Arabidopsis thaliana: one gene and its partner. The protein of the gene in region 2 interacts with the protein of the main gene of each other region in a pairwise test. Each region holds a gene or a part of one and is shown on either strand. Other genes may lie near its edges.

What was found. The genes of interacting proteins can lie anywhere in the genome.
Region 1: the proteins of UMAMIT27 (region 2) and AT5G25940 interact in a protein complementation assay, tested with the Arabidopsis thaliana proteins (one large-scale study listed by BioGRID).

The regions. Positions count from the first base shown.
Region 1 is NC_003076.8:9,053,633-9,057,395, forward strand, and holds AT5G25940 (early nodulin-like protein), read right to left. Parts: upstream 1,624-3,763; 5' UTR 1,520-1,623; coding exon 1,414-1,519; intron 1,330-1,413; coding exon 1,268-1,329; intron 1,011-1,267; coding exon 935-1,010; exon of another isoform or gene 724-934; coding exon 620-723; 3' UTR 490-619; downstream 1-489. Other genes in the region: AT5G25930 (kinase family with leucine-rich repeat domain-containing protein), read left to right, coding at 1-346.
Region 2 is NC_003070.9:3,851,306-3,855,068, reverse strand, and holds the start of UMAMIT27 (nodulin MtN21 /EamA-like transporter family protein), read right to left. Parts: upstream 1,886-3,763; 5' UTR 1,753-1,885; coding exon 1,550-1,752; intron 1,312-1,549; coding exon 1,249-1,311; exon of another isoform or gene 1,075-1,248; coding exon 958-1,074; intron 728-957; coding exon 328-727; intron 200-327; coding exon 48-199; coding exon of another isoform or gene 23-47; exon of another isoform or gene 1-22.

The DNA.
Region 1 (3,763 bases), on a different chromosome or scaffold from region 2:
GACTGGAAGAGAAGGAAACAACGGAGATGAACACACAAACTTAGCAGATTGGTCATGGAAACATTACCAATCTGGAAAACCGACCGCAGAGGCGTTTGATGAGGACATCAAAGAAGCTTCCACGACTGAGGCGATGACAACAGTTTTCAAGCTAGGTCTCATGTGTACTAACACATTGCCTAGTCATAGACCTTCCATGAAAGAGGTCTTGTATGTTCTGCGCCAACAAGGACTTGAGGCGACGAAGAAGACTGCAACAGAGGCATATGAGGCACCTCTACTAGTTAGTTTATCGGGTCGAAGGACAAGTAAAAGGGTAGAAGATGAAGATTTAGGTTTTGTATAATCAAATAATCACAACACTTGATGTTGTTTTTTTTGTGAAATGTACAAATGTATTAGAAACCATTTAGTTTTTGTGTAAGCAAAGTTTTAGTTAAGAGTATAACTACCAGCTTGTAACTTATTTGAGAACAAAATCTGAAAGTCTGAATAAAAAATGGTCTTAAAGAATTTGTTATTCCTTATAATAATAACACTCTTATTAAGAATCAAGGCAAAATATGCATACAAAACAGAGAAAGATGATGATTGATTTGTGTTACAATAAGAAGAGAAATTATTTAGAGTCTTGCTGAACTTTCTTTAACTGAGCCTCGGTGTTTCTTCTTGCGCCTTGTAGAATCGTTTTATCCGCGGTTATGAAGAACGCAGCGATAGAAGCTGTTCCAATGATCACCATAATCACAAGATAGAAATCAGAAGAAAATTGTGGAGAAATGAATGTACGAATACTTAAAAACCCCAAACTCAACTAGGTTCAAAAGGGAAGTTCGAGGTTTCTACAACAATGTTAAAGCTAGTATCTTTTTTCTACTTAGTTCCAGGAAGAACATATAGTAATGATTTAAGGCATATTGCTGATAGAGCTAACCTGAAGAAATAATGAGTGCTTGAGCAGTGTAGTTGAGGTTTGCCTTAGCCCACGGGAACATACGAACGGCAGCTACCTGTTACGAAAACAAGGCATGCTTATGTACCAAATTCATATCTTATATACACATCAAAAAGAATGTGACTCTACTTGGTGTATTCAGAAATCACAAAATGAATAGGTAACAAAATTGAAACTCTTGATTATTACAGAACATGAGATTGGTGAGTCACTTTTGTCTTAAAATTCAACAACAAAGAAACATAACTCTTACATTTAATTCATTTAAGATCTCAATTTAAAAAATTTAGATAAGTGAGATTATATGATTACTGTGGGAATCGCACTGGCGACGGCGGCAACGGCGGCGGCCTTAGCTCCGGCAATAGCTCCGGCTGTAACATAATCCAAAGTCATCAATTTAAAAGATTTTTTTTAGGGGAAAAAAGAGAGAGAGAGACGGAGAAAGAAGAAGAGACCTTGTTTGGAAGTTTCGGCTCGATGGATCTTAGCAATCTCGTCGGGAGAAGCTATGACGAAGAGATTCTGCTGCCTCCGGTTACCCATTTCTGACCGATTTTCCATTTTCAGTGTCGCTTTTTTGATCTTTCGATTTCAAGGAGAGAGAGAGAGAGAGAGACGGGTCGCGATTTGCCTTTTTCTTTGGTTAGGAAATAAATGATTAGGACGAAAATTAAAAATTCGTTTTTTTTTTTTATAAGTTGGGAATCTTTCACCAAAATAATGAAACGCCAATATTGAAAACAAAGTTGTCAAAATACTATAGTCTATAAAACGCCAATTTAGAAATGTATTTCAATCATGTATTTAGAATAATTTGTGTTAGAAAACAGATAAAACAATTATTATGTTATAGATTATTTTTAAAATAAAATAAAATTCAGTGGTTCGTAAATGTTTGTTATTGAGAATATTTTAAATTTTAGATTTTTAGTATTTTTAATGCACAATGGTCTTTTGGAGCGGTTTTAGAAATCGACTTAAGAAATGTTTGGAGTCAATTTTGTTACCATACGGATATCTTTAGAGATATAAGAAATTAATCGATTCAGTTTTAGATAAAATTTATAAGTGAAAAAATGATTAAAAAAATATAATAAATTAGTTAATTTCATTAATGATGATATTTTTGTATAGAAAGATAAATTAAAACTTAATTTTATATGTGATTAAAATAGTAATTTTTAAAAAATTGGTTAGTTTATTTTAATTACATAAAATTTAAAATAAAATTTTTGGTATAGAAGTTGAGTTTTAAATGAATTCGGCCTTAATGCTTCAAACATACAAAAGCGAAGATATAGAGAGCCCATCAAAAGTACTAGGGACCAACAGAAAATGTTAAGATTTTATTAATAGTTCAATATTCTTTTTTTAAAAATATTATAATACCTGAATTGGACTTGAGCCAAAGTTTTACAAATCAAAACAACAAATACAAAACGGAGGCAAGAATCTGACAATATCTCCGGTAGACGAGATCTTACTTCGGCGGTAGTTCAATATTGTTCTAATGATTTAACTTGATTGCTTAGATTGGATGATAGAATGTATTTCTAGTGTTCTAATTTAATTGGTTACTTGAACTTTGATACCCTTCTATTGCTATGGTTTTTATACACTTGTGGCAATGAGTGATATTGTAAATTAAATTAGAAAATATGGTGCTAAGGGATATGTGATATAATGCATATATATCCGAGCTACTCGAAAGTCGAAACAGGGTCTAAGCTTCCACCTATGGCTAATTGAGTACTTATGTGCATGAAACATGAGCATAAGAGGTTGATGGAGCTGTTTTACTGTATGCATCTTTCTGCAACCCAAATCCAAAGAGTAGTTGTAAATTTCATGAAAGTGAATGTAATGTCTATAGTCATGTCATAATGTTACTGACAGTCCAAGAGGTGAAGAGCGGTGTGCGGGTGTCTCCAAAATTGTATGTGGTATATTGTGTTTTTAGTGTCTTATGTCCTTTGTCTAGTGTTTGTTTTGAGTTGTTTGTCACATTTTTGTTCGTTTTTAATGTATTTTTCGGTTGTTTTGTACAAGTTTTACGAAGTTATACTGGAATTGGAGACTTTTTAAGTGAAAAACAGACGTTAGGAGATGAAACGGAAAAATGGTGATTCAAGACAACTCCGATGAATGCCATCAGACAACTTTTTGATGCTTAATTTTAAATTTTCTATCAAATTCCACTGGAAAATGGCATCGGACAATTCCCTGATTGAGCACCAATATAATTGAACCCTACCGCAAGAAGTATTGCCTCCTATAAAAACAAGTTGAGAACATTTTCAATGCGAGTTGTCTATAAAATTTTCGGTTGCAAATAAAATATAAATATTATTATTTTGGATCCTTAATTACATTTTTCCTACTACTTATAGAGCTTACATATCTGTTGTTTCTACTTTTACTTATTTTTTTAGTTATTGTGAAACAAAACATATATATTAATTTATACGAATTAAAGGTTTTCAGTACCTTATAAAGGTTAAAGACTATTTATTTATTTTTTATTTAATACAAAATTTGGTATATAAGCTCCATAAAGGGTAGCAAATATTTAATTTAATACAAAATTAATTATATGTACATAATTATATATATATATATAGTAACTTAGACACAATTAAAATTTGCCTTCTCCTTATAGTATAATTCAATTATATAATATATATATATATATATATATATGATTTTACTTTTCCTCTTTTTTAAGTTGATAAGAAACATACACAAAACTATATATACAAATTAATAAAAATATGCATATTTAACGTACATTTGGCTCATTCTTTG
Region 2 (3,763 bases):
CTATAAAGCTATACAAAAAATTTCATAGAGATGATCGAAGAGAGCACCTTCCGAGGTATAAAGGAGTGTGTAAGATAAGGAAATCGAATAGAGTAGCCGATATGAGAGAAACTGGCATAATTGCTGATGCGAAAACAGCTCCTAATCTGTTTATTCCCCATGTCGCTGCTACAGTCGACATTGCTTGTCCTATCACTCCCTATAATACGTGTATAGTAATAAGGTAATATTAGGTAAACCCCAAAATTTATTTAATTATTTACATATATACTACATTATAATTTATAAAAATGTTAAGATTTCTGATAATATAGTATTATAACTTACAGCATATATTATGACACCAATCACAAATCCATCGTCGATGATCCAATGTTTAAGGTCTCTACTCTTGTAAAGACTCAATAGAGCACATTGAAAAGCTGCGAAAATTGACATGAGACAAGTGCTTGAGAATTTGCAAGGATACTTGATGCTTAAAGTCCCTTGAAACAATATCCATAGAGATAGCAACACGATTCCTATGACTAAGTAGAGACATCCAAGAAGCCAATTCTTGGTGTTGTGATCGCTGTTGTTGTGAGGAAGAGCCTCTAGGTGAGAGTGAGAGTTTGATATATGAGGGCCTTTGTAAAATGTTAAGAACAAAGCTCCACTTATACATATTAGAGTTCCCATCACTTTTATCATTCCTGCTTGGGTCTTTAGATCTTTTATCTTCTCAGTTCTGAAAAGTAATATAACCTTTTAGATGATAAATTTGAGATAATTTATGAGTAAGGTTCTTTTGAGTATTTCTATATATAGAAGTATAATATGCTTGATGAAAAAACAAAAGAAATTATATGCACTGTATACATAACAAATACGAATAAATCCTGCATGAACCCATTGCATAGTAATAGTAAATACAGTACTTATTTTAATGATAAAGAAGTTAGATGGTTCCATAATTACCTCAAAATAAGAGCGAAAGCAAAGGTGATTGCAGGCATCAAGCTTACCAAAGCACACGCAACAGTTGCTGACGTGTAGGACAGACCAAGCAAATAGAAAAATTGCATCAAACTCGCCCTGCAAATTTAAACCCAAAACTAAGCTAAGATTAAAAACAATTTAGCTAGCTTATGAAGATTTTATGCTCACTTGAAAGAAAATCTTTCTTCTGTGGAAACAATCAATGTATAATGGAAAAGGAAAATGGAAAATGGACGACAAAAGAACATAAGAAATTGTGAGAAGACAAACCCGAGCAAACCACTGATGAAATGATCGACCATTAGCCTAAACGTTATTTTCGGTATTATTTTCCTGTTAACAATAAGACATAAACTTTAGGGGAAAGAAAATATCAATCTACTTCATATATTAGTAACATGTAGTGGTGTTTATTTACATGTTATAATAGAGCATTCTGACAATCTTCAATTGTAGTAAATGTTGTTAATTATGTAAATATGAAAAAACTATTTTGATATAATCAAATTTTTGAAAATTTTGCATAAGAAAAATATATAACTCAACTATTTTCATCAAAATATCAATAAACCTTTCCAAAAAATAGGCGATAGGAACCAGAATGAAAGAGGAAATAGCCATTCGATAAGCACCAATGATCATATGGTTCACACCAACATCAAGAGCTTTCTTCACAAGTGCATTCACCGAACCCATCGCTACTTGTGATGTCACCATAACTATCATCGGTGGCCATTTTGAGACTACTTTCACTCCTCGCATATCCTCACCCATCTCTCCCTCGTTCTCTCTTTCTTGAATTCTATGTGAGTTTGTGTGTTAGAAAGAGTTAAGACCCAAAGTACTTTGAGTTTGGCAACCACCCTTCCCATATTTATAACTTATAAGAAAGAGTACTGTGTTTGGGTTCTGTCATTTTAATAGAAAAAACCCCTGAATTATTGCTCTATTATATTAACTTAGTGGTCTTTCTATCAAAAATAAATAAATAAAAAACTTAGTGCTGTCAAGTTCAATTTAAATAATATTAGAATCTTGTTCCACATTATGTAAAATTATAAATTACAAAATAGTTCAAATATTTGAACAAGTTGAATGTTCCTACACACAACTAGCTTAATTTTATTTACTTTTCTGGTCTAAAAAAACTTTCTTTTTATATAGGATAAGCGTTTGTGAAGAACAAAGCACTACTACAAACCCGAGCATATTATTAACTAATGAAAGAACAAAATTAGTAGGATACTTAAGTTTAAGAAGTCGTCACAAATATAACTGCTCATGCGGTAACAATCTTTTTTTTTTCCGGTCAATATGTGTATATTTACTGTTATATTTATTTATTTATTATATAGTAGAAATGAGAACCGATACATTGGCTTTATCACACGTTTCATGAGGCGCCGATGAATTAGCTTTTCCATTTTATACGTTATATGAGTAAATGAGAAACCGATACATTGGCTTTATCATGCGTGTTATCTGCCGCGCACCTTATTAATTAGCAAAATGATTTTCATAAAAGAGAGTCGGAGAGATGATGTAACTGAGTTTAGTGAGAAAAAATAAGTCATGCAAACCCGAGCTAGTTGGTATATCTAAATCTATACTTCGTGTAATCTAATGACACTTAAACATTTGTAATCTAATGACACTTAAACACTTGCATGCCCGTCTCCGTCTGGTCGTATAGGTTCAAGTTTGGGTTCTTTACTTTCAATTGTAATTGGACTGACTCAAGGATTTGTTGAATTTGGTGCAAAATAGGAAAAAACACGAACTTTTCAACGAGATAAACTAATCATATGTAGTAAATAAGTACTATATGAGATTTTGCAACTCTCATTCAATAACTTTTTGCGTGCAAATTTGTTTTGTGCCCATTTTGAATTATATTCGATCCATTAATTATTCTCTTTTGTCTTTTCATTGGATCCATCTTGTTTTGCACTATCTCGTTTTTGTTAATTATAAATGCGTATAATTAGCTCTATATTTGAACTTTTAAAGTTGATGAAAAAATTATATTATCCCCATTTGGGTATATCGAACTCTTTCATTCCTTTAGTTTGTCCATATAACTTTGTAGGGACAAAAAGCAGATGCTATTTTTAGATTCAGTAAGTTATCTAGAAAAGGCTTAGAACATAATGGACGGGGCATTTTCTCTCCAGTAGTGCAGACATATATATTCCTTCTACTAATTAGATCAATTCACCAAATATAATAACAATTGAGTTAGTGGTTCTAATGATGTTAAATTTTTTTTATAAAAAAGTTGTCACAAAAGAAAAGTTAGTGGTTTTGACTTAGTTCTAGAATAAATTTACAAGATTGGTATATAATATATTCTATCTTTTCATATTAAATCATATCTAAAGTTTTTCACATAAATTAAGAAATAATAAAAAAAATATTTTGTTTATTTTATATATATAAATTGTTAAAATAAAACTAATTCAACTAGTAAAAAACATATTCTATTATATAAATGGTTACAATCAAATATATTTAAACTTTTGAAAACATCACTTGAAATAAGATAAACAAAATTCTCTGGATCATCATTTAAAACAAAACAGAGAAAGTATTCGATGAAATTAAAACAGTATAACCAACAGCTCAATAATTATTATACTTTTATAATTTTTTTTATTTTTTTTTGAAAAAGGGTTTTATATATGGTGAATTAATCTGATTATACTACATATAACTAAATTGGAAAGGGATAAGAATAAAAAAAAAGAAGTAGACGTCTCAAAACAAAGTTAAGCCTCCATGACGC